Linked DNA regions of Ovis aries. The protein of the gene in region 1 interacts with the protein of each later gene in a biochemical or structural test. Links are inferred from orthologs where the notes say so. Each region holds a gene or a part of one and is shown in the gene's direction. Other genes may lie near its edges.

Region 1 (5,099 bases):
AATGGGTCAGATGCTCCAATTAAAAGGCAGAGATCGGCAGGATCACACACACAAAAAAGTGATCTCACCATATACAGTCCACAAGAACCACACTTTAGATTCAAAGACACAAATAGGTTGAAAATAAAAGGACAGAAAAAGAGAAACTACGCAAATAGCAACCAATAACAAGATAGACCACATCTGGGTCTCAATAAATTTAAATGATTGAAATAATACAAAGTATATTCTCTCTCCATAATGGAATGTATTTAGGTAGGTCTTAGTAAACAGCCACTGCATGGAATTTGATAATAACGCATGTCCCTCCTAATGTTATTCACTAACTAATCAGCCTTTCTAAACTTCTCTTCCTGGAAGGAGAGGTCTACAAGCATTCTGGCATGAGTCAGGTCACCTCACCCACAAGAGCTAGGTCAGAGGGAATTTCATAATGTTTATTTCCTGGAAAATGCTCCCCGTGGGGGACAACTTTTTATAGTAGGACACACTTGGTTTTTGGAATCATAGTCTGGATACCAATAATCATTACCTTAGACAAGTTATTTAGTTTCTCTAAGCCTCAGCTTTCTCATCTGTACCATAAGGTATTTGTACCTCAAGGATTTAGAGGCTAAATAAATAAATGTAAATTTCCTACCTTCTTCAGTCTTCTTTTTCTCATGCAAATAACATCGTAATATGCAAGAGAAGACATGGGGTAAATAGTCCTGGAGCAATAGAGAAAGCTGGCATTAGGATGTTGAATAAAGCAATCTTGAGCTAGTATCCCAGTCCTCTTTTGTATGAAGTATGTGACCCTCATCTATAAAATGGGCATAATGACGTCCCTCCTGTAGTGCTAACAAGGATTATGGGAGATTATAAGGCTATCTACGACTCGCCTAGCACCCAGAGGTACGGATAAATGGTAGTGGTCAGAATTAGAATCCGCCTTTCCCCCCTTTTTGGTGCCCACCCTGTCCCCAAAGTAAACTCCAGTTCACTCCCCCCATAGCACTACGTTTCCTTTCGCCCGCATCTCCTCTTGAACTCGTCTCCCCTACTGCACACACACTTGTGCACCGAGGCTAGAGCAGCCGGGGAAACAAAGCTACAATTAGAAAGCAACTAAATAAACAATTTTGAGAACAATGTCTCAAAATTATATTTGTGTGCGTGCACAGGCGCGCGTGAAAGTGGGGACGTATGAGACAGGAGATTTTTATGAGACTGGGGTATCTCCAAACTCCAGGAAACTAGAAGGCGGGGCGGGGCGTAGAGGGGAAAGCGTGTCACATCGCCGGGCGCGGAAAGAAATCGCCAAGAGGAAGCCTCAGCCTGCGGAGATCGTGTTGCCCAGACGCCAGGGCCCAGCACCAGGGAAACGAAAGGAAGGATGAAATAAAATTTTAAAAAGGCAGAGAGTGGCGGGCCACCCGGGAAGCCCTTGCTGTAGGTGTTTCCACAGGTCCGTCCGATAAGCCCGCCTGGCGTGCGGCCGGGCTCCCCGAGGGTAGGGACCCGCGCAGGCGCGCCCGCCCGGGGCTCCGGCGCGCTCGGGAGCCGGGGTTCACTCCGCGCCGCGCGGCCGCGGGAACCGCCCTGGGGCCGGGAGGCCGGTCTGAACGCCCAGGGTGCGGCGCCCCGCGCCCGCCGCCGGGGCCGAGCGCGGCGGCCGGGACCGCGGGGACCCCGGGGCGCCCCCACCCGGCGCGGCCCGCCCGCCCCACGTGACTTCCTGGAAGCCCGGGGGCCCCGCCCCGCCGCTCGGTTTCGTTTCCTCGGCGGCCTCGGGGCCACTGCGCCGCCGTTTCCCCGCACGTCCCGTCGGGCGCCGCAGACGCACCATGGCGGAGCTGTGCCCGCTGGCCGAGGAGCTGTCGTGCTCCATCTGCCTGGAGCCCTTCAAGGACCCGGTCACCACGCCGTGCGGCCACAACTTCTGCGGCGCGTGCCTGGACGAGACGTGGGCCGTCCAGGGCGCGCCGTACCTCTGCCCGCAGTGCCGCAGCGGCTTCCCCGCGCGGCCGCAGCTGCGCAAGAACACGGTGCTGTGCGCCGTGGTGGAGCAGTTCCTGCAGGCCGAGCAGGCCCGGCCCGCGCTCGCCGCCGACGGCTGGACGCCGCCCACCCGCGCCGCCGCCCCCAGCGCGGCCGGCCAGGTGGCCTGCGACCACTGCCTGCAGGCCACCGCCGTCAAGACGTGCCTGGTGTGCATGGCCTCCTTCTGCCAGGAGCACCTGCGGCCGCACCTGGACAGCCCCGCCTTCCAGGACCACCCGCTGCAGCCGCCCGTCCGCGACCTGATGCGCCGCAAGTGCGCCCGCCACAACCGCCTGCGGGACTTCTTCTGCCCCCAGCACAGCGAGTGTATCTGCCACGTCTGCGTGGTGGACCACAAGACCTGCTCGCCTGCGCCCCTCAACGAGGCCAGCACCGACCTGGAGGTAGGGGGGCGGCGGGCGGGGGCGCCGAGAGGCAGCCTAGGCCGGCGGGGTGGCGCACAGGGCCCCGCTGTGGGCAGTGTGGCCGACCAGGCGGATCCCGTGGGGGCGGTGGAGGGGCATCCTCAGGCCTTGCTGTGCCTGAGATGGGGCCAGGGGTACAGCCAGTGTCCTGGTAGAAGGGGCCGTGAGAACATACAGCCCTCATATTCGTGGCTCACCCCACTCACCCATTTTACAGAGGGAACTACTTAAGACGCAGGTGATATGTTGTTTGCATTAAGCCTAGCAGTTGTCTGGGGGTCGCTTGTGGCTCAGACGGTAGAGAATCTGCCTGCTATGCTGGAGACTCCGCTTCTATCCCTGGGTCGGGAAGATCCCCTGGAGAAGGGAATGGCAACCCACTCCAGTGTTCTTGCCTGGAGAATTGCGTGGACAGAGGAGCCTGGCGGGCCACAGTCCCTGATGTCTCAAAGAGTGGGACACGGCCGAGTGACTACACTTTCACTTTAGCAGTGATCTGACATGTTTAGTAGAGGGTTTTGAACATCAATATGAGGGCTAGAGGTTACCTACGTTCTCTTAAGTTCCCCTAGCTCCCAGGTGGTGGGTATAATGAGTTGTTTACAGCTGAGGAAGTAGGAAATGGACATTCAGAGAAGTTCATTTCACTTGAGTTAACCCAAGTGGCCAAGTGGTCATTGAGCCTTGGCCAGCTGGTCGGACACCATTGTTGCTGTTTCTCCTGGTGGACCAGCCTCAAAACCAAGTCCTGGAATTCAGAGCACAGGACATTCCTGAGGTCATGTGAGATAAAGTCTTTGTGAGCCAGAGACTTCTGGTGACCGGGGAGGACCGACCACTGTGAGGGGGAGGGTGGGCAGGGTCCCAGGAAGCCCTGGACAGGAGGCCCAGCTGCACGCTTGCTGTGCCCTTTCTCCTGCCTGAGCTCCTTTAAAGCACGGGGCTGGTCCTCATCAGCAACGTGAGGAGGGGGATCAGGGCCCTTCTTGGTCTGAGATGGTTTCAGTGGTTGCCTGGGGTCGGTCCTCATCAGCAATGTGAGGAGGGGGATCAGGTGGATTCCTCAGGGCCCTTCTTGGTCTGAGATGTTTTCAGTGGTTCGAGGACCCTGATTTCCCATCTGGAATGGAGGCAGAGGCTGAACAGGTGTAGGCCCACTCCCTTTCCTTGCTTCAGTCAAACTTCAGGGTGAGGCCTGGGTTCTTTTCTCTCTCCCAGGCTCTCAGGGAAAACCGGGGCTGTCCTCGTGCTGTCTAAGGAGATGTGAGGCCTGGGGAGCTTTGCAGTGGCTCCACGGCCCGGGGGCAGGTGCTGCTCTGGCCTGGGCAGGACCCTCCCTGCCTCGTCTGCGTGTCCAGGCCGAGCTGGGTTCCTGCGGCCTGCTTCTCTGAGTCCCTCAGGCCTTGCCTGACATTGACCAGCGAGGTACAACTGTCTCAGGCCCAGCCCACTTGGGTCTTCACCTGTTACAGGAAAGAACCTGCCTGGCCTTCAGAGCCTGGAGGCCTGCTCTGCGTACATCAGCTGTGGTTCAGGGCAAGTCATTACATTTCTCTTGAGGGTCAGCGTCTTCATCCCTAAAACGGGATTAATAGCATTCCGTCTGCACATCCAAGAGTGGCCAGGAGGCTCCAGGGGGCTGAGCTGTTTGGGAAGTGCTTCTTAGGCAGGCCCCAGGGCCCAGCTGGTTGACTCGGATTCTGACCAGAGCTGAATGTTGAGACCTGGGTTTGAATTCTGGCTCTGCTTCCTGGCTGGGAACCCATCAAAGGGCCCAATAATGCTGCCTATCTGAGGAGGTGGTTGGGAGGATTAATGAGGTGATCCATAAATGGTGGGTTTTGTTTATTTGTTTTAAACACAGCTGTCAATCCGCCTGCAGTGTGGGAGACTCAGGTTCAATCCTGGGGTCAGACAGATCCCCTGCAGAAGGGAATGGCTACCCACTCCAGTATTCTGGCCTGGAGAATTCCAAGGACAGAGGAGCCTGGCAAGCCACAGTCCATGGGGTTGCAAAGAATCAGACACGACTGAACAACTAACACTTCACTTCTTAGCTTTTAGGTTGTGTGTGTGTGTTTTTTTTTTTTTTTTTCCTTTTCAGTTGACAGAGATCAGAGTTGCTTTTTAAAAAAAAGTTGTTTTAAGTTTTGGCCCTGATGGTCTTAGTTGCGGCGCACAGCTTCTCTAGTTGTGGCGCGTGGGATTAGTTGCTCCTTGGCATATGAGATCTTAGCTCCCTGAGCAGAGATTGAACCTGTGTCTCTTGCATTGGAAGGCGGATTCTTAGCCACTGGACCACCAGGGAATTCCCCATGCATGGCATTTTTATAGCTCACTAGTGCTCCATAGAGCTGCTGCTATCATTTCTGTTACTCAGAAATTCCCTGAGGAGAGTTGCTGCATGGAGGGTGTTAGACTGCCCAGATTTTCTTCTCAGGATGTGTGGGCCTGAGGACTTGGGCAGCCTAGATCTGCTCAGAAGGCCTGCTAGCAGTTCTTATCCAGGGGGCAGAAGGCAGTGAGGGGCAGAAGGGCCCTTTGTGGTCTGGTCTGGAGCCACAGCTTCCGCTCGATCTCCAGGGCCTGGGGCTGAAATCTGCGCCCAGGTTATCTGTGTGCCATGCACGCTCGGCTTTCTAATCCTTT
Region 2 (5,157 bases), on another chromosome or scaffold:
GCAGTAGACAGGTTAAAAAGAGAAAGGAAAAAAATAAAGAGAGAAAGATTTATTTAGCATTGGTGGGGGGAAGCTTCCAATAATGGAAACTTCCTAGAATTGCCTGAAATCACTTTATATATCTCAATTAACAAAGGGGTTTCTCTTTTAGAACTTCATTAGAGGGGTAAGGCAATGGTACCCGACTCCAGTACTCTTGCCTGGAAAATCCCATGGATGGAGGAGCCTGGTAGCCTGCAGTCCATGGTGTGGCTAAGAGTTGGATACGACTGAGCAACTTCAATTTCACTTCTCACTTTCATGAATTGGAGAAGGAAATGGCAACCCACTCCAGTGTTCTTGCCTGGAAAATCCCAGGGACAGAGGAGCCTGGTGGACTGCCGTCTATGGGGTCACACAGAGTCGGACAGGACTGAAGCGACGCAGCAGCAGCAGCTGCAGAGGGGTATGGAAGGTTCTATCCGGTTTTTTAATGCTAACTGCAATGGATATTCTGTCTGCAGGGCAATTGAGTTAGCAGGAAACTCCCTTGGAACGGGGTGAAAGGTAGCTGCATTTTCTTTAGGCTTTTGCTTTACTCAGACTAAGAGAAATTCAGATAAATTTATTTCTGCATCCTCTGTAGCTCAAACGTTTTCACTTTAATCTCTATACGGTGGCTCAGATGGTGAAGACTTTGCCTGCAAATGTGGGAGACCTGGGTTCGATCCCTGGGTTGGGAAGATCTGCAAAAGGGAACAGCTACCCACTCCAGTATTCTGGCCTGGAGAATTACATGGATAGACAAGCCTGGTGGACTACAGTCCATGGAATCCCCAGGAGCCAGACAGACTGAGCAACTTTCACTTTCACTTTTTTCTTTTATACCAACTCTGCGGGCTTAAGGGAGTCCCCACCGAAGGGGAAAAGATCGTGTCCAAATATTCAAAGAGAGGATATCTAGCTTAAGTCCTGGGATCTGTCTAAGCATGCCTGGGGCACCTCTGTTGATGGTTATAGACAGGCAAGAATGTGTCAAGAAGTGGTTCTTCAAAGAACTCAAAAAAAGGTGAAAAAGCGGGAAAGCAATAATGATTGTTCTTGGAGAAGGTCGGGTGCTGAGAAAGACACTACCCAGTGGTCCCTGCCAGGCAGACCTCAATCTGGAGTCTGGGGGCCAGATTTGGGAAACCTTGGGTAGTATTCTGGCTCCAGCTGTTGGCTGTTTGCTCAGATTACTTCCTGGAGGAGAGTGAGGATAATACTATCTAACTCGTGGAGCTGTGAAGATTACTGATGCTGAAGCTGAAGCTCCAATACTCTGGCCACCTGATGTGAAGAGCTCAATCATTGGGAAAGACCCTGATGCTGAGAAAGACTGAGGGCAGGGGGAGAAAGGGGCGACAGAGGACGAGATGGTTGGATGGCATCACCGACTCGAGTTGGTGCAAACTCCAGGAGATGGTGAAGGACAGGGAAGCCTGGCGGGCTGCAGTCCATGCGGTCACAAAGAGTCGGCCTGAGCGACTGAACAACAACAACTAATATCGGAGGCAGGGCGCGGGGCTCAGAGCAGGCGCTCTCTTGGGTCCGTTCTTTCCGGGGATGGGTGGGGTAGAGAACAGAGGGCTCCTCAAGAGGGCTCCCAAGACTCGCGTCATTCGCCGCTTCGTCTGGCTTATAAAAGCTCTGCCGGAGCCGAGAGGTTATTTTTTTTCCCCTTTTAGTTTCTCTTCTTTCCAAAGAAGCCTCTCGGCGCCCCGCTGGGGAACCTGACCCTCCAGGAGCCTGGAGACGAGGGGGCAGCCGTCCGGTGGTCTCCACGGTCGCCCGCAGACAAGCCCGCACTTGTTCGCTCTCTTTGCACGAGGTGGCCGTCGCGATCGCCTTTTGATCTGACGCAGGGACCGGGGTCGGTGAGATCTGGCCTCTCGACCCGAGCTTTTCGGAAACCGAAACCGACAGGCTAGGCTAACGGGCGGCGGACAGCGCACGCTCGCTCGCTGGCCCCGGGCGCGCCCAACCCGCGCGGCGCCCGCCCCCCGCCTCAGGGACTCTAGTAAGTTTCGATTCTCCCGGCAGCCGAGTCCCGCGCGGAGGTCAGGCCAGTATAGCGCGCCATGGCGGACCCCGGGGTGTGCAGCTTCATCACCAAGATCCTGTGCGCCCACGGGGGGCGCATGGCCCTGGAAGCTCTGCTCCGCGAGATGCAGCTCTCCGAGGCGCAGCTCTGCGAGGTGCTGGAGGAGGCCGGGCCCGACCGCTTCGTGGTGTTGGAGATGGGCGGCAAGGAAGGGGTCACCCGGTCCGTGGTAGCCACCACTCGAGCCCGGGTCTGCCGTCGCAAGTACTGCAACAAACCCTGCGGGAACCTGCACCTCTGCAAGCTCAACCTGCTGGGCCGGTGCCACTATTCGCAGTCGGAGCGGTGAGTGCCGTGAGCGGGAGGGGCGGCTTCCCCGGGTCCCGGCTCCGGGAGGACGGTGGCTGCTGCTCTGGAGGGGCGCGCCCTCGCTGGGACCGCGCGCCCTATGCCTCTGCCTTGCTCCTCGAGGGGCCCGCGCTTTGTCTCTTGGAGGTTTCCTCCCCTCCAGCGTCGTCGGACCTTTCCTCCAGTATGGCTAGGGCGCTATTGCCCCGGTGAAGACTACGATGAACTTCCCACTTCCATAAGGGTCTGTCTGCAATGCGGAACACCCGGGGTCGATCCCTGGGTCGGGAAGATCCCTTGGAGGAGGGCATGGCAACCTCCTCCAGTACTCTTGCCAGAGGAGCCTGGGGGGCTACAGTCCATGGAGTTGCAAAGAGTCGGACACGACTGAGCAACTAACACTTTCGCTTTTCTCGTAAGAATAAATTTCTTTTGGGCATGCCAGGTTCTAGAGGGTTTGGAGGCAGGTTTGGGAACCACCGAAAATGCCTCCACCCTCTGGAAACTTAAGTCTCTCCCTCTCGGCTACCTTACCCGCTAGGGCTTTTTGTGTGGTCTTCCCAGACCCCCAGGCGCGCCTGGCCCCTGGGATCTGTCTCCATCGCGGCGCCTGCGGGGCTCTGCTTTGGCCCTCCATTCCTAGCCACCTCTCTCCCCCCTCTTATTATCCCTTTTTTGATACCTGACTCTAGACCGCTCCACCGGACCAGAATGGTCCTATTCAAGGTTACCAACGATGGGTCCGCTCACAGATCCTTCCTCGTGGTCGCTTACAGATCCTTCCTCGTGGTCGCCAAGGTGGCCTGAACATTTGGCCAACCACCCTTTGACCAAACCACTCTTGGGACCACTTTGATATGGTGCTGCAGTGTCTCCCAGGCAGCCGCTTCTGTGTTTCCACTTGTTTTGTCTCCTGAATATAGGTATGCCCCAACGTTTGGGTTAACCTTATTGATGGGCCTGTCTTCCACTTCTCTCCCCAAAAGCCCTGACACCATTGGGTTCAGTTGTCACATTTACAAAGATGGCTCCCTTGTGTACTTCCGCAGGCGTTTAGTCGACTCTAGGTTCTTCATCTCCAGGTGTCTGAGAAGTATCTGCGTCTAAATATCATACCAGTCGGAGTCAAACCCATTTTCTTTCCCCCAGGGCAGGGTTTCTGACACTCCCCTCAGCCTCTTCTTCCTCCTTCACATTACCTTAACCATTAATCAGTAAGTCCTTTCCTTGAGCACTCCTAAGCCTTCCCTTTCTATTTCCTACTTTTCAATCTCACTTCTAAATGAATGTCTTGTTGAACTAGTGAATGATTTTCTCTGACCACAGTCTTTGTCCCCATCTTTCCTATCTGTATGTACTTCTGCTAAATTGTTTTTCTTCATGTAGCATTTGTCACACTTCCTCCCTCCTTAAAAACTTTCAGTGGTGTCTTAGTGTCCAAAATGGTGGGTGGTCTTCAAACTTTTCAGCCTGCACATACTCACCAAGAACTTTAGATTTCTCACTCCAATACTTGTGTGATAAAACATACAAGACAGAGGTTGTAAATGGATGAGATTAGATGAGATTATTTTTTTTTAAATTCGTTTAGAGCAAAATTTTCAAAATATGCTCCGTTGTTATTAAAAAGAGATATTTATTGTGTTGCGAGGCAACAATTTGAAAGTCTGTTTCTGAGTTTTAGGAAGGTATGAGTTTGGAAGAAGTCGTCTAAGTCAGTAACAGATGAAACCAGGAAGGAGGAAAAGAGGGTAGAGATTAAGACAAAAAAAAAAAAAGGAAGGAACATTCTAGTGCTCTACCAAATAACAACGGGGATGAAAGGCTTTGTAGTCTTTCCTGTTTTGTTGTGAAAAATTCTTCACCAGTTAGTGCTGGCTTTTAGTTTTAAATACATAAGCTTCTTGTCTTTACATTTTTTTTTTTACTATGAGTATTTTCAACATACACTAAAGTAGAGAGGAGAGAATGATGAACCCCTATGTACCCATAGTTTCAACAGTTTTCAAAGTAAGGCCAGTCTTGGCTCATTTATTCTCCCCTTCCCATCCCCAGTCCCAACACCAATGTGTTATTTTAAGCCAAATGCCAGAGTTTAGTTGCTTTGTAAAATACTCTAGTATCTCCAAGGATGAAGGACTCTATTAATATAACTGCAGTGCAATGATCACTTTTTTTACAATTATAATTTTAATATCATATAATATCCAGTTGGTTTTCAAATTTCTCTGACTGCCGTATATTTGGACTTGCATTTACAGGGAATAAAACCTGTGCAGACATAATCTATAATTGTTTTAATATGTTGCAATATATGTAATATATTTAGAAACTTAGTTTTATCACGCACACTACCTTTAGAAACTTTAGTTTGTTTCTTTATAATTATTATTCTTTGTTGTTTGAAACATCAAAACTGTTTTAAGTTCATAAATTGGGTAGTTGACCTGTACTTTTCCATATTTTAAAAGGGGAATATGTACTATATGAATAATATGGTCTGTAGGAATAATTTAGTTTATGCAAGTTTGGGTGGATTTTCTGGAGAATTCATGAAAGTCTTTTTTCTTTTTTTTAGTTGAGTGATAAAGTCTTATTTCTTAAGTGTATTGGTCTAGTCATATTTTTAAATTGTTTATATATCACTTTTGAGTTTGAGGATTAAAAAGTTTTAATCCATTAATGTAAATCATGTGCTCATAATAAGGACCATTGGAGAATTCTTTTTCTTTTGTCTCAAAGCCTAG

What was found.
Region 2: of the proteins of TRIM25 (region 1) and ZC3HAV1, one has a biochemical effect on the other in vitro, tested with the Homo sapiens proteins (2 studies listed by BioGRID). The link is inferred for Ovis aries from reciprocal best matches to the Homo sapiens genes TRIM25 and ZC3HAV1.

The regions. Positions count from the first base shown.
Region 1 is NC_056064.1:7,431,891-7,436,989, reverse strand, and holds the start of TRIM25 (E3 ubiquitin/ISG15 ligase TRIM25), read left to right. Parts: upstream 1-1,751; 5' UTR 1,752-1,829; coding exon 1,830-2,429; intron 2,430-5,099.
Region 2 is NC_056057.1:104,152,482-104,157,638, reverse strand, and holds the start of ZC3HAV1 (zinc finger CCCH-type antiviral protein 1), read left to right. Parts: upstream 1-2,037; 5' UTR 2,038-2,099; coding exon 2,100-2,407; intron 2,408-5,157.